Linked DNA regions of Notamacropus eugenii. The protein of the gene in region 2 interacts with the protein of the main gene of each other region in a pairwise test. Links are inferred from orthologs where the notes say so. Each region holds a gene or a part of one and is shown on either strand. Other genes may lie near its edges. The genes, in order: PDE6D, ARL3 and ARL2BP.

Region 1 (7,022 bases), on a different chromosome or scaffold from region 2:
TGTCCTAGAGGCAAGAGGAAATGAACAAAGATTTCTGGGTAAAAGAATGGCCAGGTTTGGTCTATGGTTTCAGAATATCAATTTGGCAGCTCTGTGGAGGATGAACTTTAGAGGGGACATCAGAAGCAGGATGACCAACCAGGAGGTCAACAGGACAGGTGAAAGCTGGTGAGATCTTCTAAAATATGAGCTGCACAGAGGAAAACTGATGGGACAGATGTGAAAGTAGAATCTACACATCTTGACAACTAATTGAATGTAGAGGGTGAGAGAGATAAAAGAATCAAGAATGACTCCAACTGCCTAAACCCTTTGACCCCAAGACTCCATTACTGGGCTTAACCCCCAAGGAATTCACTGATAGGAAGAAAATCCCCATATACACCAAAATACTGAAAGCAGCATTTTTTTGTGACAGCAAAGGCTTGGAAACAAGGTAGATGCCTATTGATTGAAGAATGACTAAACAAATTGTGGTACATGAATGTAAAGGAATATTCCTGTACTGTAAGAAATGATGTATGTGATGAATACAGAGAAGCCTGCATGAAAGAGAAAGAGCTGCATGAACTGATACAGAATGAGGTAAGCAGAGCTGAGAAAACAATACACACAGTAATTACAACAATATTAAAAGAAAGAACCACACTGACATACACAAAATCAAACATGAATGGAGCAAAGTTACAAAGATCAAGGATAACTGGAATGACGACATACCCATTCCTTTGTGGAGGTGGGAGGGACGTAGGTGTTACACCTGGTAAGTATTTTTAGACCTTCTTTTCGATGTATTAATTGGCTGTACTGATTTTCTCCCCCTTTGTGTCTATTAAAAAATAGCATCTGGTATACGAGATGGCAAAGAGAAAGGGAGAGTGGGGAAAATTCTGATGATATAAAAAACAAAAAGTATCAATGAAAATTTGGTTTTTTTTAAAGAATGACTACAAGACTGTAAACCTGGGTGACTAGAAGGGTACTGGTACACTCCACAGAATTAGGAAAGTTTGAGGATCAGTTTGGGTTTGAGAATCACTTCCAGTTTGGACATTCTAACAAGGACTTGGCAATGCAGGGCTTAAAGTTCAGGAAAGAGATTAGAACTAGATCAGCAAAGAGATGATAATTGAACCCGCAGGAGCTGCTAACATCACAAGAGGGAGAAAAGAGAAAAGGACTCAGGTCAAAGTCCAGAGGGACTTACACACAGGAGCAGGAGAAAGAGGATGATCTTGCAAAGGAAACTTAAGAAGGAAGGATCAAAGAGGTAGGAGGAGATTCGAGAGAGAACAGTCACTGAAGCCAAGGTGTGGTTGTACCACTGTGTAGAAATTCTACATCACAGTTACTCTTAGCTTGAAAGGATGTTAGATTAGACATCTAAGCAAAGCATACATACAAAAAGGTCTTGAGACAATTCTCCTTAAGTTACCAAAACTTAGACCTATGTTATTTTTACCTAAAAGTAACTTCTTAGTTTTTCACCCTTAGCCCTCATATACCAGGCATTACTAGCCCAAAGAATACAATTGGAGGGGATCTGATCAATGGCTCCCATCCTTTCTTTTCTATATTATCTTTCCCTAAATTTGTTCCTGGCAAGTTTGTGTCCCAGCACACACACACACCCCTACTGGATCGATGAATTCCCCTTCTTACCTAGAAGACTGCCACGGGTTCTGAATGCTTACCAGTATCCTTCATGTGTATTTAGCTGCTCCTTCAGTTTTCTCAAGAATCAAACCCCCTTAAAAAGGAAAGGCGGTTCCCACTTCCTGCTTCACTCAAACTAGCCCTAGATGCTTTCTGATCTCCAGCAACAGATCGATCTGAACCAGATCAAAACGAAGCTGCTCTCTAGCTTGGCGAAGGTAAGACTGAAGTTAAACGACCGCACCCAGCAATGCTGGAGGAAAATGGGAAGAAACAATCCACAGTCACGGGAGTGGAACCAAATAGACGCCTGCCTCTGTCCACCCTTCCCAGAAGAGCAAGGCCACGCGATGGAAGAGGCAGCCCAGCTCCGCTCCAGCCCTGACTCCCCGAGGCTCAAAGTTTTCGGGAGAGGGAAGTCAGCAGGCTGAGGGCATGTTCACAGCTGCCCTCCTTCCATTTCCGGTCTCACCCACAAAGCTGCTTTCGCCTTTCTGGTGTTCTAAACTGCGGGCAGCGTGACACGGAGGGGGAAAGAAGCTTTCTGCAAGGCTAAAAGGCTGCAGAGAGAGCCCTCGCGAACCCCTGGAGAGGAAGGTGCAGCCATGGTGGGGACACCGGGCGGCCAGCTAACTGCAGCAGACAGCTGGAGAAAGCCTTTTTTTAATCTCTAGCGATTTGATTGTAGCAAACTTTAAGAGCAAAACAAGAGATAAAGATGCCGCCAAGTCGACGTGGAAAGATTACGCTCTTTTTCTGCTGGGATTATACACAGCATTTACAGATTAACGTCGCCCTGGGCACCGCACAACTGGCCACCACGCACCCCAGGGGTCCCGAGCCCAGCCCAGCCCCGGGTGGGAAGCACGAGCGAAGGTGCGGGGCGCCCCAGCACTAACGCCCCCCAGGGCTGCTCCCGCACCTCCTCCTTCCCCTCCCGGCGCCCCGACTTTCCTGCCAGGCACCGAGGAGCCACCGCCCCCTCAGCTCCAGGCCCAGGGTCCCTCCCCCACACACGCCCCCAGGCCCGACCGTCCCCCGCGGGCGGATACAGCTTGAAGCCCCTCAGGATCTCCCGGGCCCGCTCGTCCTCGGTGGACATGACGAGGCGCCGGCGGCTCCGGGCGGCGCTGCCCCGGAGCTAGTCACCTGCGGCGGGCGGCGGCGACGATGACGGCGGCGGCGGCGACGATAAAGGGAGCCGGAGCCGGGGCCGGGGCCGGGCCAGGGGCCGGGGGGCCGGAGCGGGATTCTCGGCTGAAGAGGCGGCGGCGACTGAGGCGGCAGCGGTCCCCGCCCCCCTCCCCCACTGCCGCCCGCCCTCCGCCCCTATGACCAATGGGAAACCGCTATCCTGCCGGGGGCCGGCCCCTCTTTGTGGATGGGCAGCTCAACCTACCAATAGGAGAAGGAGCGGCTTCGGCGGGGGAAGAAGGAGCGTCCCTCCAGAAGACCGTCTCTCGGTCGTCATCCTCCCCACCCGGCCCGAGACGGGAGCCTCCTTGGGTCAATCTTTTCCGCTTGCGTTGCGGCCCGCGGCGCCCCGGGACCGGGTGAGAGCCAATAAAAACAGTTTCTTCCGCCGGCAACCTTGGGGCTCTGCTCCAAGAGTTGAGCGCGGGGACTACAAGTCCCAGCATGCCACAAGCTTTCAGAGGCCCGGAAACTACGAGTCCCATGATGTCCCGCAGGCTGCTCTCGCTCGGTTGGATCACCGCGTAGGTAGACTCGCGTGGACTCGTTCGTAAACATCCAACCGCGTGGGGCTCCTGTGGGTCGTTCTTCCTCCCTGACCCCATCCTGTCTCTGTCTCTCTCCTCTTCCTCTCTAATTCTTTTTCTGCCTTTCCCCTTTCTCCCTCCATCTTTCTCTCCCTCCATGTCCCCTTCTCTCCTCCCTCCCACTCCTTTTCTCATCTCTTTTCTCCTCTCTTTCTCCTTCCCTCTTTCTCTCCCTCTCACATTCTTTCTCTCCCCCATATTTCCTTCAAGGACAAGTTCAGGCACCATCTTCTACATTAACCCTTGCCTGATTCTGGATTCAGGAAGACCCAAGTTCAAATTCAGCCTCAGACACCTACCAGCTGTGCGATCCTGGGCCAGTCACTTGACCTTTGTCTCAGTTTCCCCATGTGTAAAATGAGGATCATAATAGCACTTACCTCCCTGGGTTATTATGAAGATTAAACTGAAATAACACATGTAGGTAAAGTGCTTTGCAAACCTCAGATTACTGCATTAAGTGCTTGACTATTATCCCAATTGCTGGTGTTGTCCTTTCCAAATCCTCAAATTTATGACATACATAACTCCAAGTGTATACTTAGAACAGCTTAGGCTTAAGGTCTGATAGAATGAAACCTCCAGAATGATAGTGACACTGTCCTTGGATATGTAGTTAGAAAAGTCTGAATGTTTGTGATCATGCCCTGAATTGGAAAGAAAAAGCTGTCTAACAATGGCCTGGGGGACTGGTTTTCCAGCTTAGTGAAAAAAAGTCCCTTTGCTCCCAGGGAGCCTGTGCCCTCATGGGATGGACAAAGAGCCATGAGGAAATGCACAGGAAAGGGTCATCCGCAGGTGTTTATTGGGAGGAAGAAAACTTGATCAGTCAGATGCAGATACAGAATTAAAAACAACAGCCACAAAAAAAACCAAAAACACAACCAGAAATGGGTGCCAGTCATAACAAGCTGAAGTAAGGTAGAAGACAGGAATAAGGACTGTCATCTCCATGTTCCCCACAATATATCAATCAATAAACATTTATTAAGCTCCTACTATGTGCTAGGCTAAGAGTTGGAGGATACAAAAAAAAAGGCAAAAGATACTCCCTGCCTTCAAGGAATTTACAATCCAGTGGAAGAGATAACATGCAAACAAATAGGTGTACACAAGCTACATACAGGATGAATAGTAAATAATTAACAGAGGGAAGGCTCTAGAATTAAGAGGGTTAGGAAAGGCTTCCTGAAGAAGATGGAGTTTTAGTTGAGACTTGAAAGAAGCCAGGGAAGCAAAGCACTCAATCACCAGAGCTGGTGATTCGTGTTCTCCGTAAAGTAGACAGTCCAACATTTTGTAGTCCCTCGCAAAATCAGCTGCAAAAAGCCCAGCACCTGTAGTTATATACCATAACAGCAAATACATATCAACCTATAACAAGTACACAAGCATTTATTAAGTGTTCTCTGTATGCCAGGCACTGTGCTAAATACTGGGGCTACAAAGAAGGGCAAAAGATGGTCTATCCCTTCTCTTCTGGAGCTCACAGCCACTGGACCACAGAAGAAAGGATATCAAAGGAGCATCCCAGGGACTCACCTAAGAATGACATCCACAGCAAATAGCTGTGACCACAGTAACAATAGACGATAGACATAGTCATGCAAAGCCTCACTTGCTTCTGTGACTCCAGAAAATTCATCCTCAAGCTTTGCTCTTCATGCCTCATCCTAGTCTCTGCCTCTCTGATTAAGGGACTGAGCACCTATTTCCTCCCAAAGCCCTCAATTAAAGAGGACAAAGAAGCCCATAGTGTTGTTATTCTGTCTTGTCTGACTCTGTGACCCCATTTGGAGTTTCCTTGGCAAAGATACTGGAGTGCTTTGCCATGTCCTTCACAGATGAGGAAACTGAGGCAAGCAGGGGGAAGTGACCCACTCAGAGCCATCCAGCTAGGAAGTGTCTGAGGCTGGATTTGAACTCAGTTCATCCCTAATTTACACCTTTCCTGGACTGACCCCTTTGAGAGAGGGTCTCACCAGACAACAGTACACTGTGTTTAGTGGGGTGGGGGTCGTTGCCGAGGCTGACCATTGCACAGAAAGGTGTCTTCATCTGGTTAGTCCAGCTGACAGTTTCTCACTGTCCCGAGGGGGAATTTCAATAAAAAATAAAGGTCGCTGGCTGCGTGTGCGTGTGTGTGCGTGTCCTGTCTCAGGACCGCTCCGGACACATAAATACACCTCGGATGGCCCGCAGCGGTCCAAGCTGACTTGGGCTAAAGCGCGGGGCGCTCTCCCGGCAGATCTTCAAGCGGAGCCTGGGGGGAGGGGCGGAGGGGGCACGTGGACAGGGCTGGGGGCGGGGAGGCGAAAAGCACCTATCCCGGGGCCGCCGCGCGGGGAAGGCTTTTGTCCGGCCGGGGCGGGAGCCGAGCATGCGCAAAGCGAGAAGGCCTTGACCCGCGGAGTCTGCGCATTGGGCAAAACCGGGCACGGAGAGACTGCGCGTGCGCGCGCGCCGGAACCCACGTGCTGCAGCCGGAACCTGGGCGCAGAGGCGGTGAGTTTCCGAGGGGGCCTCGGAGAGGGCCGGCCCGGCGGAGGCACTTGAGCGGCGGACCCCGGAGCGATGATGGCCGCCTGACGACCCGCGGGGAGGCGCCGGGAGCGGACGGACGGAGCCTTGGCGGCGGAGGCAGGTACAAGGAGCAGGGGTGGCCCCGGGGGAGCTGGGGGGACCCCGGGCTGGAGGGGGCGGGGAGGGCATTCCTGGGGGGGGGTGGTCCGCCCCGCCCCCCTCACCCGCCGCCTCCGGTGAGCGAGGGGAGGGGCGAGCCCCGCCCCCACCGAGGCCTCCCCTCCCCCAGCCCCCCTCGCTTCTCTTCCTTCCTAAGGCCCCTTGTGCCCCCCCTCTGAGCTGCCTCCACCTCCAGGCCTCAGGCCTCCCCCTCCCGCTCCTTCTCCTGGGCCTGCGCCCCCGAAGCTGCCTTAGGCTTGTAGCCCCCGAGTTTATTGGCCTGGAGTCAGGAGGACCCGAGTTCAGATCCAGCCCCGGACACTCTCGGGGTCCCGGGGGGCAGGAGGGGCTCCTCCGCCTCCCCTTTGCCCCCTGGGGACCACAATGGCAGCACCAGCCCCCCTCTCCCGACCTCGGCCCCCGGCCCCCGGTCCCCTCCACGGCCGCCCTCATCTCTCCTGGTGGGGAGAGGCACTTCCAGATTCCCCAGAGAGTCTGGGACCCCCGCCGGAGCCCCTCACTTAGCGTGCTCCTTCTGAGGCTCAGAGGAGAGCCCCCAGCACCCCGCTTCGGGGATATTCGAGGTTCCTGCCTTAGCTCTCCTGCGGCAGATCACCCCCAGAAACACCCCTTGGCCGGGCTTCCCTCGCCCCTTATCCAACATGTAACGTTTTGAGGAAGAAAGCGCCTTTCTTGTACCCTGGGTACCCCAAAACTGCCTTTTCACTAACAACTCCACCTCCATTTCTTGCCCTCCTCAGTCACCCCACCCCTCTCCGCACCCCTGCCCATCTCCCCAGCAGTCTGAGACTGAGAGAGGCCCCCTCCACGTGTCCTCACCGCTGTGGATTCCCCACGGGGGTGCTCCAGGCCCTGGCCACGTGTGGTGGTGGAGGCAGATCT
Region 2 (7,988 bases):
CCCAGCAACTCTAGCCGCTGAACCACCTAAATGCAACAAATTGAGGTTAGTTATCTCTATAATAAATACATGAAAGTCTTAAGCTTTTCTTGGAGACAAAGATGTCAGTGTTCCTTTCTGCCAGTGTCAATGGAATGGACTTTTCCTCATAAAGAATGGATCTGTAGTACTTTATCCAGTGAATTTTTTTTATAGAAAAAGAGTATAAAACAGTGGCATCAAACACAAATGGAAATGGGGACTACTAATCTATACATCGATACCAAAGCATATTGGCTTGGTTTCAAAATATAATCTATGTTTTAATGTACTTTTATTTATTTTGTTAAATATTTCCAAATTATATTTTAAACATTTCTGGTTTAGAATAATCCTCAAATGCAAAATACATTTGAAAACTACTGACATATCAAAAACCAATACAGTAATACAATACTTTCTACAGAGCTTTGAATTACTAAGTGATTGAACAAAAGAATTCTGGTTAAAAATGTGAAGTTAGGATTAAAATGACTTGTGATCTTGTCATTTCATACATGTGTACTATAAACAGCTTAAAATGTTTGAATAAACTATCAGTGAATGAGTAGGCTTTTTGTTACAGTAGCCCAATTTTTAAAATAAACAAGTATCAATAATGAGTCTTAGCTGAAGGTTTTAGAGTTTGCTGGACTTTTTATTTCAAGAAGTTGGTAACTTGTATCTATAGTTTGCTTTGCCACTTTTACTGGCCTTAAAGTGAAATTAGATTTGCTTTTATAATAGTAGCACTGCAAATACTATATGTATCATATAGTCTATATCTATAGACTATATATGTCTACCACATTAGAAAAAAATTCAACACTAGTAAAATTATAGGAGTACATGTAAAAGAACAGCTTATAGTTGATATAGATAATGATCTCAGAAAACATCGAGTGACTAAAAAACCCAAACACAGAATTCTGAAAACTGACACATTAAGTTACATTACAAATGTTTAAAAAATTGACATTTTATTTTCCATTTCGCTCAATTAAGTCTTTACCAGACATCCAATACGGTAGATCCCTGAGATACAACGACAAAAAAAAAAGCAGGCCCTATCTTAAGGATCTTAATTCTATTGTAACAATAACAGACCCTCTCACAGATAAGCAAAAAAATTAAACCACACATATACTATGGAATGTCTGTGCTAATTATTTCATACATACATATATGTATACAGACATATGAGAAAAAATTCAGCAAAACCCTTGAAAGTCAATTTACACCTGGAAGTAGATCCAGTGGTTACTGTCATTTATATTCTTCAATTTAAAAAAAAAACCAAATTATTTCGTTCATTTGATGGATAAACTGGTAAATATTAGCCAATGATGATACATTTATCATCTGTGATGACAATCTTCATCTTCTGTTGGTCTGACATGCCTATTTAGCTTCAGTTCTAGTTACTTTTGGGTAAATATTTGTGTTCTTTAATGACAAATCTTTCTAATGAATAGCTCATAAACAAATGATTAATAAAAAGATAACACCAAAAATATTTACACAAATCTGTTTAGCCTGAGGTTAACAAAACTGTTACATAGAATGTGCAAAATCTGGTTGGCAGCATTAGCTAAAATAATTCTACTTATTATACTTAGCAATCATGATCATGTGCAATCAATTGGTTTTTCCTCCTATAGTCATTGATCTCTTATCCAACACTGGATAAGTTTTCTCATTTTGCTCCAGCTTTTTGTAAGCCCTTCAACCACTGAAATGTTCCAATAGTTTTAAAGGTTAAAAAAAATGAGCAGTGGAGAGCAACTCAAACTCCAGTTTCAGCATCACTCAAGGCTACAAAGCCTAACTATTTTTCCTTTCAAGTGACTAACTGACCAGCATCCTCAGGAAGCCTAAGAATACTTTTTGGGATAGGAACAAGATCGAAATGACATCTCAAGCACCTCCAAACGAAGTATTCCGAGGGTCCAAACAGAAAAGGCCAAACTATCCGAGGTCCAAAATACGGGAAAAGTTCTCGTTTGGGCTGATAAGTGAGAACCTGTGCCACAGGCTGATAACCAGTCCACCTACCCTTTTCCTTTGCCCAAGGAAGCCCGGGGTATTCTCCCCAAGGCTAGGCTCTTCTATTAAGTTGGATCAACTCAAAAAATAAGGCGTGTGTGTGTGTGTGTGGGGGCAGTCTCGATGGGGCTAAGACCAGCTGGGGCAGATTCGTGATGGCCCCAGGCAGAGCTGGGGCTCTGGCCTGGTTATCCCGGAGGCTGGGATGGGCAGGTCCCCAGATCACAAAGCGGGAGAGCTTCTCCCCAGAGGAAGCCTCTCAAGCGCAGCGGGCCATCCCCACTTCCCGGGGCCCGCACCTGTGGACACGGAGCCCGGCGGGGGGAGCGTTCCCGCCACTCCCGGATGGAGGCATGCAGAACCCCCGGGGTCCCGGGGAGGAGGAGGGGAGGGCGGCTGAGAATCGCTCTTCACAGCCCTCACCCCTGCGGAGCTCGGCCGCGGGCGGCTGGGGGAGCGCGCCCGGAGCCCCTTTCCGGGCCCCCATCTTCAAGCCTTGCCCTCCCTCAGGCCCCAGGCCTCCCACCCGGCCCGTTTCAGGCTCTCCTTGCCGCTCCCGGGCGCTCCCAGCACGACGGGAAGGGTCTGAGGGCGTCCCGCCCGAGTCCTGCCTGAGCCCTAGGGTCCGAGAGCGGACCTGGGTTGGGGGGGCTCGAGGGCGGCCCAGACACCCACACTCACCATCCTCCCGCCGACTCCCTCCTCTGCCTCCGCCTCCTCCTCCTCCTCCTCCTCCTCCTCCTCCTCCTCCTCCTGCTGCCTCCCCCGTTACCAGGGGCAACTGCGGCGGCACCGCCCGTCCCCGGCGCGGGCACCGCCCCGACGTCCCGCCGCCACTACACGCACAGTGGGCTGGGGCGGAGACACCGAGGAGAGAGAAGGAGAAAGGGGTCCCGCGAGTCCCTTCCCAAGAGAGCGCAGGCGCACAGAGACGCAATCCAGCCCGAGCGTCCGGCCAAGCCCTTTCCTGCGCAGGCGTACTCCTTTTTCTGCTTTAAGCCCGAGAGGGCGGGGGGAAGTAGGTGATGGAAAGTTGCCCACGTGGCCAGCCAGGGACGGCCCCCTCCTGTGATTGGTCCGGAAGCGGAGGCGCGGGGGGCGGAGCCGAAGGGGCGGAACGCTCCTGGGAGGGGCGGCAGTCTGTGTGAGCGCGCTTTGCTTTCCGCTGTCTGTGTCGACGTCTGGCCTGGCTTCAGGTTTGGCTTTTGGGGAGCGGCCTAGGGGCGAGGGTGGACGGGCGGCACGGACTAGCCTGACTCTTCCCGCGGGCTCCAGGGCCCCTGGCTTTTAGGAGGGGAGATAGGTTCAGGGCGCGCAGACTCCCAGCGTGGTGCCAACGGCTCAGTTCCCATGTGCTGCGGCTGCCACAGGGTCAACGTGGCAAAAAAGAAAAGGGGGGGCCCCACGTTGGGAAGACTGGCACTGCTCTTCCAAGCAGCCCCTAGGAAAAGAAAGAGGCAGCCGTTCCCCCCCAGTGCGAACACTTTGGCACTGGTGGAGGAGGCCCCTCCTCCGCGCATGCACTGCCCCACCCCCACATCTCAGAGGCCTGTACTCAACTGAATCTCCCTAGAGGTTGGGTCGCAGGAGGCGGTGTCTTGGAGGTCTCAGTGGGGGCAAGTCTGGCAACTGTGCCCTGAGCGTGGATCCTGGGAGCCACGATGCTCTGGAGTCCCCACAAGTCCCCAAGCACCTACCCTGGAAGCCAGTAGATGCTGCCACACTTCTGCTAATGATGACCAGGATGCCTCCTTAGAATACTCATCCCAGGAATAAAGTGGGGGTCTTCCAGGGCAGCTTGGAGGGCCAGAACAACGTGATCTTGTTTCTTGTCTCTTTGGAAAGGGGGCCTGGACGTGTAGTGAAAATGTGGCCACTTCAGAAATACTCCTTCTAAGTAGTCTGAAGCTTTAATGTAACTGATGACATCTGCATAGCACCTTAACGTTCACAAAGAGCTTTGTGGCTGTTGTTCAGAGTTGTCAGATTCTTCCTGACCCTACTGGCCGTACCTGTCCATGGGGTTTTCTTGCAGAGATACTGGAGTATTTGCCACTTTCTTCTCCATAGGATTAAGGTAAACAGAGGTTGACTTGCCTAGGATCACATAGCTGGTAAGTGTCTATGGCTGGATTTCAACTCAGGTCTTCCTGACTCCAGGCCCAGACCTATCCACTGAGCCCCTAGCTGTCTCCTTCATAAAGAGCTTAAATTACTTTATTTGATGCTTATATTACCTGTTGAGTTAGATAGTACAAGTATCATTTTCAGATGAGGAAACTGAGCAACAGGGACTGAGATGCAGGTTCCATGTAGCAGATCTAGTAATGGACAAGCTCGGATTTGAACCCATGTTTTCTGACACCAAATTAGTATCTTTTTTCTGTAACCACACAGCTGTCTCTTTGGAGGAGCAGAGATGGCTTGGGCTTGGAGATTTTAGGAAGTTATGTGTCTTTAGAGTTTGTAGGATTTTCTTCTGGGTCACCCTCTTTAAAAAAAATTAGTGATATATTTTCTTTTTACATCACTAGCTTTCTGGTGTATTCTTTTCCCCTGTTTAGAAAATCATCCCTTATAATAAAAATGCTTTAAAAAAAAGTTCAGCAAAACTACCCAACGTATTGTAAAAACCTAATATATGTAGTATTCCATACCTATACCTCTTTTCTACAAAAAATGGCAAAAGTGGTCACCCTCCTAGCTCTCATTTTGGCGGCAGGCAGGAGCCAGATTTTGATAGCAGTAGGCTTTTAGATTTGGCTGGAGTCAGTGGACTTTGCCCACAGGATAACTAATTAATCGTTTATTTTGGGTGTATTTATAGAACTAGACTTCTGTGCTTTATGGTGCATAATGGTTTTTATTATTGCAAGAAAATTTTATTGTCGGCACTTAATTTCAGGGTTCAGACCAGGCTTAAAGCATCAGGAGAAGCTCAAGTCAAACTGGCAGGAAGGCAGGCCCAGCTTCTAGTCATGTTTCAGGCTCTCTCCAACATGCACTCCCCCAGCTCAACCTGGGGGCCTACTTGCAGTTGCAGCATAGCCAGGGTCAGGGTAGTTTTCATGGCATCCAGGCTGTATCCTCTCTCCTCTAGGGCAGTTTTCTGCTCAGGCTAAAGAAGGATGGCCTCTCTTCCCCCCTTTCTGTTACTGCAGAAAACAAAACACTTAGCACCTATTTATCCTTTGTGAGCTCATGTTTGGAAAGAGTAGCATCTTCCTCAGTTAAACTAGATATCTAGGGTCAAGTAGGATCAGGAGGCTTATTGGTAGAGGTTGGCCAGATGGTTGACAGCAGCAGAGGTGTTATTATCTGTGCATAATGGTTTCAAACATTGGTTTCTACCTTACAGGACTCTTCAATTGGCAGACAAGACATATCCTCCTGTAGTATATGCTGAAGTGGTTTATCAGCCAAAATTCCAGACAATCCTCAACTGCTGCCTAGTGGTCTCCAGACTACTGACTCTTGTGCCAAAGAGATAATGGAAATTTCTGTTTCAAAACACCCTAAATGTTAACATTTTGTTTACCAGAGTTGGTGGGTGTAAGCATGAGGATGAATTAATAGCTTCATATTTCCCATTTTTGAGGTTGTTTGGGCAAACCCTAACATCCAGATGTTTTTTGTTCAAAAAGAAGTGCAGACTAGTAGTTAGTCATTGACCCCCAGCAAGGGATTGATGGTGAGCCATTAGAGCCCTTTGTACCTCCTTCCTACCCAAGGATTATATGCCTTCCTTTCTTGCTTGCCTAGAGAGTAAGGCTGTGAGGGTAAAGTTCTTAGGAAAGGAGAAAATTATCTGTATTTTTTCTGTCCAACAGAAGGATCTCCAAAAACTTGATAGCGAAATGCTACTACCTCTCAGGACTGTTTGCAGTCGTACAGCAGCACTTTCTTTCAAGGAGAAATGTTGCATTAAAGAAGATGGCATTGAAGTATAGTGGAAAAGAACACTGAACTAGGGACCTGGAGATCTGGGTTCTAGATCACTTGGCTGTCTGACCTTGGACAAGTCAGTTCCTTCTGTGGATTTCACTTTCTACCTCTGTAAAATGAGGGCATTGAACTCCAAGGTTCCTTCCAGTTCTAATATTGTATATTTCTAAGGGGAGGAAGAATGATTCTTTTGGGTCTGTGAGGTGGGAAGAGTTAATTAGTAAGTCATTTGTCTCATTTTTTCCTTATCCAAGCTAGATAACTGAGTACCATCTGTGTAAATATCGTTCCCTTGGGTTAGCAGCAAGGCTCAAACTGTCTTTCCTGACCACCACTCCAACTGAGATCTTGCTTGGGATCAGGATTTCACCCTCAGTCAATCAACAAACATTATTAAGTGCCTTTTATGGGCCTGGCATTTTGGTATGTAATAGGAATATAATTACAAAGAATAAAACAATAACTGATTTCAAGGAGCTTACGTTCTAATAGGGGTCTACGTTATGTACATAAATGTAGAACCTGGCCCTGGCAATGCCCCATTATAATTCCCTAGACTGGCTTGTTCATTCCAACCAATCCTCACGCAGACAGGTCTGAGATTCTCAGAGAGTGAGGTGCCACAGCTGACTCAAAAACTCCCTCCAGGTCCTAGGAATCACCTTTTGTGAGCTGCTGTAGCCCTTCTACTAACCACAGTAGTTCCTGAGCCCCCATTGTTGTGCTTCCTGTTTATAGGGAATCAGTCTGTATTACATTACTGATTCTTGAATATAAAACATATTTAATGATGAAGCAAAAGCAAGAATAATTATAAAATCCATGTTATTCAGTATGAGGTAAATGCAAGGATAATCACAGCATTATAGTCCACCAATAAACCTGGGTCACAGTCTTCGAGTAATGCACCTCCATGTTGGTGGTGAAGAGTAGATACATAGAAACCCCTCCCTTTTTTTTAAACCACAAATGAATTAATTTATTTATGAATGAGTCAACAGCACTGCTTTCCTTCCAATAGTTAAATATAGCAGACAAGTAGAAAAGTCCCATTTTTAATATAATTTACCTTCCATCAGAACAGGCTGCTAACTGTAGGCAGTGTCTCCCCTATCTCTCCTACAGTCAGAGTTGTACTAGGAGAGCCAGTCTCATCTCCAGCAAGCTCTTCAAACCCAGCGTAAGCAGTGTCAGAACTTCCTCAAGGAAGTACAGAGCCTATAGCTATGCCCCTTGTCCTTTGTAGAGTTTAAAATGAACTGCAAGCCTGTCAGTGACTGCTTAACCGCTACCCCCAGCCCCAGCACACTGAGGCCTCCTATCCTGTCTTAAGCATCCTGCTGGAACTGCCTGCCTGTGGGTCCTCCACCCCACCAAGGCTAGCTCCCAGTGACCAAACCATTGAGTGTCACACAGTCCATCTGGTGGGTTGGTTTTACTTGTGCATAAAATGAGAAAACATTCAGTGAAGCCTTTTCTGTCATGGAATAGGAGGGTCTATAGGAATAGGAGGGAGACACATGAATGGGAAAATCCATGTGCTTGGGGGGGACAACTTATAATTCTTGCTTTCAGGCTCTGATGTCCTTGGTCCCCATTAGGAATCACCTGTACCGCAAGAAGCTACTTCTCTGCTGTTTTGGTTTTGGTCCTCACCATTCTCCTGTTGGGCATATCATCTTCTCTTTTGCCCTCAAGCTGATGAGGCACTGTTGTACAACTTCTTTTAACTCACAGTCATTTTTAACAGGGGTCTGAGAAAGTATAACACTTTCTCTAGTGACATGCCATTACTTTCAACCAGACAGCTGCAAAGCTCTTCAGGTTATCTCTTTGGGATCTGTAGACAAACAAGCCCAGTTAGCTCTTCATTCAACAGAAGTCTGCTTTGTCTAATCACCACTTTGTTTTTTCTTACAGCAAAGCACAGCAAAACTCATCTTGATTCTCATGTGCAAATGCAGACAATCCCAGCTAGC
Region 3 (7,265 bases), about 290 Mb from region 2:
GAACCGTCAATCCCCTTATTTTATAAGAAACTGAGGCCTACTTCAACAACAAGAGATAGAAAGAGAAATTCCATTTAAAGTTACAGGAGGCATTATAAAATATTTGGGAATCTACCTACCAAAACAAACCCAGGAACTATATGAATGCAATCATAAAACATTTTTCATACAAAGTCTGATCTAAATAATTGGAAAAATATCAATTGCTCATGGGTAGGCCAAGCTAATATAATAAAAATGACAATTCTACCTAAATTAAATTACCTATTCAGTGTCATACTAATCAAACTACCAAAAAATTATTTTATAGAGCCAGACAGAAACAATAACAAAATTCATCTGAAGAACAAAAGGTCCAGAATATTAAGGGAATTACTGAAAAGAAATGCAAGGGAAGGTGGCCTAGCTGTATCAGATCTTAAATTGTATTATAAAGCAGCAATCATCAAAACTACTTGGTGCTGGCTAAGAAACAGAGTGGAGGATAAGTGGAATAGGTTAGGTACACAAGACACATTGGTCAATGACTATAATAATCTGCTATTTGATAAATCCAAAGATTCCAGTTTTGGGAATTAGAACTCAGTATTTAACAAAAATTACTGGAAAAACTGAAAAATAATATGACAAAAAATAGGTATACACCAACATCTTACACCCTATACCAAGACAAAGTCAAAATGGGTAAATAATTTAGATACAAAGACTGATATTATAAGCAAACTAGGAGAGCAAAGTATAGTTTACCTGTCAGATCTATGGAGAAGGGAAGAATTTATAACCAAACAAGAAATAGAGAACATGATAAGATACAAATTGGATGATTTTGATTACACTAAATTGAAAAGTTTTTGAGCAAAAAAAGCCAATGCAACCAATATTAGAAGGGAAACAGAAAGCTGGGAAGCAATTTTTACAACCAGTGTCTCTGATAAAAGCCTCATTTCTAAAATATATAGAGAACTGAGTCAAATTTGTAAGAATACAAGTGATTTCCCTATTGATAAATGGTCAAAGGATATGAATAAGTACTTTTCAGAGGAGGAAATTAAAGCTCTCTATAGTCATATGAAAAAATGCTCTAAATCACTATTGATTATAGAAATGCAAATCAAAACAACTCTGAGGTGTCACGTCACACCTATCAGATTAGCTAACATGACAAAACAGGAAAATGATAAATGTTAAAGAAGATGTGGGAAAATTGGAACACTAATGCTTTGTTGGTGGAGTTGTGAACTAAGTCAGTCATTCTGGAGAGCAATTTGGAACTATGCCCTAAAGGCTATAAAATTGTGTATACTCTTTGACCCAGCAATACCACTTCTAGCCCTGTGTCCCAAAGAGATCATAAAAATGAGAAAAGGGCTCACATGTACAAAAACATTTATAGCATCTCTTTTTGTGGTGGCAAAGAATTGGAAATTGAGGGGATGCCTATCAATTGAGGAATGGCTAAATAAGTTGTGGTATATGAATGTAATGGAATCCTATTGTGTTATAAGAAATGATGAGCAAGCAGACTTCAGAAAAACTTGGAAGGACTTATATGAACTGATGCTGAATGAAGTGAATAGAACCAGGAGAACATTGTACATGGTAGCAGTTAAAATGTGCAATCACTTAACCTTGATAGACTTAGCTCTTCTCAGCAATGCAAGGATCTAAGACAATTCCAAAAAACTCATCCACATCTAGAAAAAGAACTCTGGAGTCTGAATGCAGACAGAAGCATACTATTTGCTCTCCTTTTCTTTTGTTGTTTTGTTTTGTTTCTCCTTTCTCCTAATGGTTCCTCCTATTAATTCTAATTCTTTTTTACAACATGACTAATGTGAAAATATGTTTAATATGAATGTATAAGTAGAGCCTATATCAGATTGCATGCCATCTTGGGGAAGGGGAGGAGAGGAGAAAATTCAAAACTCAAAATCTTATGGAAATGAATGCTGAAAACTAAAAATAAAAAAATTAACTATACAATTAAAAAAAAAAACCAGAAGCCTAGAGAAGGAAAATCAGTCCAGCAGGCAGTCAATAAGCATTATAAGCACCTACTATATGCCAGACACCATACTAAGCACTAGAGATACAAAGAAAGGTGAAAGACAGTCCCAGCTGTCAAGGAGCTCAGTCTGAAGGGGGATACAACATGAAAATAACTATACACAAACAACATAGTATATACAAGATAAATTGAAGACCAATCAATAGAGAAAATGTTTTAGCATTAAGAGGGATCAAGGAGTAATTTGCCCAAGTTCACAAAGGCTTCTAAGTATACAAATAGGATTTGTACTTAAGTCATCTCCAAATCCAGGGATCTTTCCATTAGCAATTAACAAATATTTATTAAGCACTTAACTATATTGTGTGCCAGGTACTGCGCAAGGTGCTGAAAAGATGAGGAGAGGGGAGGGGAGGGAAGAGGAGAGGAGAGGGAGAATGATAATGAATTTGGGTCTGAAATCTCTTAGTTTGAGATGTCCAGACAAAGAGTCACTCCAGTTAAAAAAAAAAACAAAACTTAGTTGCTCCCTAGAACCTACCAATTAAAGATTCTTATCCCTTAATATCACGTTAAAGCTAATGCCACCTTATTTTTATTCATTTTTTTCTACAACTACCCTCCAGTCAAACTGGACAGTGTCTTCACAGCTCAAAGCCTTTGTTCCCCTCCCATGGAATGCATTCTTCCCCTTTTTCTGCTGAATTTCTATCCCTCACTTAAAGCTCAACTCGAGCACCATTATCTTCAGAAAGCAGAACTGCCCCTTCCCCCTGGGAGCTCACTCTTAATGTTTTTCTTCAGTCGTAGCTGACTCTTTGTGACCTATCTGGAGTTTTCTTGGCAGAGACACTGCAGTGGTTTTCCAGCTCCTTTTACAGATGAGGAAACTGAGGCAAGCAGTGTCACCTGGTATCTGACGTTAGATTTGAACTCTGGTCTTCCGAACTCCAGGGCCAGCCGCTGTAACATACATGCTTAACACTTTACAGAAATGGTTTAGCACTTATTGAATACCATACATATCCACTAACTAGCCTATTAAACCACGTGCGGGGGTGCGGAGGGGCTACCAGCCTTATCTATCATACTTTAAAATATCTTAAATGAGCTCTTTTCTCCTCTTCCCTCTCTCTTCTGCTGGCTTTAGTGGAAAAGTAAATAGCGTTGGGGGTCGGAAGACGCCAGGATTCGAATCCAAATTCAGACACTTTATTACCAATTCGATCCCGAACCCTGGGTTCTTAATTTCTCTTGTGTCCACAGACTCCTTGGCCAACCGGGAAAGTCTACGGGCCCCTTCTCGGAATAATGGTTTTAAATGTATCCAATAAAATACACGGGTTTGACACTGAATTTGATTAATTTTTTTTTTAAGTTCGCGACCCCAGCTCGAGAGCTCCCAATTTAAGCAAATGACGGTAACCTTGCCGGGGAGCGAGAAGACCGTCACCCCGGGTTCAAGTCAGTGCTCAGACACCCACTGGCTGGAGGCCCGGCCAAGTCCCTTAAGCCTGTCAGCCTGTGTCCCCATCTGAAAAACGAGCTGGAGACGGGGAAGGCCAGCCCCGCCGCTGTCCTTGCGGGAAGCCCGCACACGGGTCACCAAGAGGCGCGCCCCAAGAAAACCACTCTGCAGCAACGGTGAAAACCTCCCTCGTTTATTTCCTCCGCCTCCTCCAGCTCCACGCAGCCTCACGTAGGGCGGGCAGACGCAGACGGCGTCCGCTGTGATAGGCTGGCCGGCCCCGCCCTTTCCGTCTGGAAGGACGCCGGGACGGGATTGGAACGGCAGGCGGAAAGAGCTGTCGTCATGGTAACGGGAGCGCGGCGGGGGCGGGGAGGAGCAGGGGAAGGAGGGATTCCACGTTCAGGCGACGCCGCAGGGGGGCGGGGTGGGGGGAACCAGAACCGTAACGGATTCCATGGGGCATCGAATCCGGGGGAGAAGCTCACGGTCCCCTCCGCTTGAGTGAAGTTCGGGTTTCGACCCTCTCCACTTCCGCGGTTTGGGGAGGGGGGGGAAGCCATTTAGAGCCTCGGGGCACTCGGAGCACCCCGCAGCGGGGGGGCCCCGAGTGGACCCTACAGTGCGCAGGCGCAGGCTGGTCCCCGAGACCCGGCCCACCCGGGACGGGGAGGGAAGGGGTAGGGGTAGGGGTGGGGTGGGGGTGGGGGTGGAATCGGAGTAGGAGGAGCCCGAGGTGCCCGGAGTCTCCCTCCCGAGCCCAGGCCGCGTCTCAGATCAGGTAGAGGTGAGGGAGGAGGCCCCAGAACGACTGGGAGCTTCACGGTCAACTATGATGGACACTTTAGAAGAAGAAAACTTCGCCCTGGCCATGTGAGTGACCCCAGCGACAGCTGCGCCGCAAAGCCCAACTTTTGGGGGGGGGGGGCGAGGATGGGGGAGGGGAAGTTGCTAGACAGCCTCCCGACGCGTGCAAGATTTTCAGAGATTGTCCAAGGTTGCAAAGCACCAGCCTCCCCCCGCCCCCCACCCCCGTGCTTTTAGCTACACGAGGAGAGGGAGCGAGGTGCTGGAGTAGAAGGAGGAGTGAATGGGGCCCTGGGTTCGAGTGCTGCCTCGGGATGTTTCCTGGGTGACCAGTCACTTAAACTGCTTTCTCATCAGTAAAATGGGGGTAAGGAGGGAGGGGGCTGGGGTGGTCTCAGGGTTCTTAACCTTTTTTTAGTCTGTGAGCTTCTTGTGGGCAGGAATTGGGTTTGGTTTTTGTTTGCCTTGCCTTCCTTTTTATATCCCTGGTGCCTGGCACTTAATGACTTGACCCTCCTTTCCCGGATAGACCTCTATGAAGGCCTAGTGAAGCATCTGGTCCCCTTCTCAAAATAATGTTTTTCAGTGATTGAAGGAAGTACTCAATTTCATTTAGTGGTTAGCAAAAATAAAGTTGTAATTTTCCTTTTTTCCCCATCCAAGTTCAAGGACCCCCTTCATCTACCTACAATAGGATCACACACACATATGTATACATGTACAGATGTGTATTGCACACATATACATACATGTATACACATATATACACAGATACATACATACACACATGCACATACATATATGGATTTGAAAAGGACCTCTGAGACCATCTAATCCAGCTTCCTCATTTTACGGATGAGGAAAAGTGAGGACCAGAAACGCTAAAGGAATTGTCCAAGATCACACAGGGTGGTAAGTAAGCACTAAAGATGGGATTTGAACTTTTGGCCTCTAACTCAAGAATCAGTGCTCTTTCCATTGTACACCACTGCTTCTTGGATCAAAGGACCAAGGTCTGAATCCTGATTCTGCTACTTAATACCTGTCTGATCTCCAGCAAGTCACTTCTTTCCCCTCTGGGCCTGTTTTCTTAATCTGTAAAGTGAAAGAGTTGAACTCATGGCCCGTTTTTGTACAAGCAGGGAACTAAGAATGATTTTTATATTTTTAAATACAGTAAAATGTTTTTTTTAAATGTGGAAATCATGCTTAGCTAGCAGGCAGCAGCCATAGTTGAGAGAAGCTCAGGACTAGGTAATTTTCAGATTCCTTCCAGCTTCTGTTGCTACAGTTTGGACCTTCTTATTAAATTGTGTAAAAGAACTTTAAAAGGAAACTCTCTTAGCAGAAGGTATTCCAAAGAATAGAGTAGATTTTTATACTGTATTGAAACTCAATAGGTTTCCTCCTGCTCACTCTGTGCTTGAACCCTGAATGCCATATCTCCAGCCAACCAGAGATTTGTCAAGTACAGTAGTGTGTGTTGTCATGGAATTTTTTTATGCCACCATCACAATGAGGACCAGCCTCTCTCAAGCCAGTGATATTCAAAGCCTGTCATGAAATCTGACTGATTAGAGTTGCCTTGATAGCAACATAAGAAGAACAGGTCCCCTAAAGTAACAAAAGTCATACAGAGTTTGGGGGAATTCCAAGTCATCTCTTTGAATTATACTCCTACATAGGTGGCCAACTTCAGCTGTGGTACACAGTTTTTAATGCTCCAGATTGTGGTGACCATAAGCAGATAGTTTGTACTAGTTTTGGGGTCAGCTTCAAAGATGCGGTAAGTGGAGCAGAACAGGGATCCCTTGCTTAATTACATAGTTATGTTGCCTAAAAGTTGTGTGACTCAAATTTATATTTAAAGGAACTCTGTAGTGACTCCTTTTATTGCTTATTGTTTCAGAAAACCTTATGTAAAACAATTTGTTCTTATAAAGGTGGGATGTACCCATAAAAGGAATTAAACCAATTATTGGATAAATTGTCTGACCTATAATCCTGATATTAATTTTCAGTTCTTCCGCTTCTGATGCAGAATTTGATGCAGTAGTTGGATGTATAGAGGACATTATCATGGGTAAGTTTCATTTATAAAAGAGAAATATAGATGCCTCAACTAAAACAAATTAAACTCTGTGCACAAAAAAATAAAGACTCTTTCCAGTGTTAAAAAGAAGATAATATATCTTGACTTAGAGATTTTTGTTCTAATGTAGTGCATTGCCAGTAGAATTGGAAAAAGATTTTTAGCCCACATTTTCATTCCCTGCAGTACTCTTCTCTGCCGCATACCTGAGGATAGGTGGCATTCTCTTCTCTGCTTGTATATTTCCAATAACAGAAAACTCATTACCTCACAAGACTGGTTCTTCCAAATCTGTCTTTTTTCATCATTTTGGAAAATTGACATCACTGTAGTTTACTCAAGAGCTTTGAACTGCAAGTTTTTAGCTCAGCTTTGCTATTTTGACCAAGTTATTTATTCTGTAGGTCTTTCTCTCTTTCTGTAAAAAGGAGTCTAGATTTGATGATTTCTAAGGTACATTAAAACTTTAAGGTTCTATTTTAATTAGAGTTTTGGAATATAACCATGTTTAGCTTTTCCTTCCTTGAATCCCACAAACTCTAAGGTAACATAATTTTTGCCCAGGGTTCCCATTACTTTTGCTACAGAAATTGGTTCCCTGTTGGTCAAGATAACATCTGGAGCAACGATTCTTTTTTTGTGTCATAAGCTTCTCTGGCTTTCTGATGAACCCTGTGAATCCCTCCCCAGAGTAATATTTTAATGTATAAAAAATATGTAGGATTTCAAAGGAAACCAATTATATTGAAATTTAGTTATCAAAGTATTGAAAATTCGAAGACTTCCTGAAATCTGCTCCTGCCAGGGGGATAGATTAGCAGTGTAATTAGCCCCCAAGGGGTCCAGGGTTAAGAAAGCCAGTGAGGAACTTACCACAAGCTGAACTGTAG

The links.
Region 1: the proteins of ARL3 (region 2) and PDE6D interact in binary tests that used the Homo sapiens proteins (3 or more experiments, as listed by UniProt). The link is inferred for Notamacropus eugenii from reciprocal best matches to the Homo sapiens genes ARL3 and PDE6D.
Region 3: the proteins of ARL3 (region 2) and ARL2BP interact in binary tests that used the Homo sapiens proteins (3 or more experiments, as listed by UniProt). The link is inferred for Notamacropus eugenii from reciprocal best matches to the Homo sapiens genes ARL3 and ARL2BP.

The regions. Positions count from the first base shown.
Region 1 is NC_092873.1:58,279,057-58,286,078, reverse strand, and holds the start of PDE6D (retinal rod rhodopsin-sensitive cGMP 3',5'-cyclic phosphodiesterase subunit delta), read right to left. Parts: upstream 3,005-7,022; 5' UTR 2,759-3,004; coding exon 2,709-2,758; intron 1-2,708. UniProt on the Homo sapiens protein: Promotes the release of prenylated target proteins from cellular membranes. Modulates the activity of prenylated or palmitoylated Ras family members by regulating their subcellular location.
Region 2 is NC_092872.1:180,917,561-180,925,548, forward strand, and holds the start of ARL3 (ADP-ribosylation factor-like protein 3), read right to left. Parts: upstream 3,098-7,988; 5' UTR 2,749-3,097; coding exon 2,746-2,748; intron 1-2,745. UniProt on the Homo sapiens protein: Small GTP-binding protein which cycles between an inactive GDP-bound and an active GTP-bound form, and the rate of cycling is regulated by guanine nucleotide exchange factors (GEF) and GTPase-activating proteins (GAP).
Region 3 is NC_092872.1:474,876,189-474,883,453, forward strand, and holds the start of ARL2BP (ADP-ribosylation factor-like protein 2-binding protein), read left to right. Parts: upstream 1-4,169; 5' UTR 4,170-4,308; coding exon 4,309-4,349; intron 4,350-5,816; exon of another isoform or gene 5,817-6,064; coding exon of another isoform or gene 6,065-6,069; intron 6,070-6,304; coding exon 6,305-6,366; intron 6,367-7,265. UniProt on the Homo sapiens protein: Together with ARL2, plays a role in the nuclear translocation, retention and transcriptional activity of STAT3. May play a role as an effector of ARL2.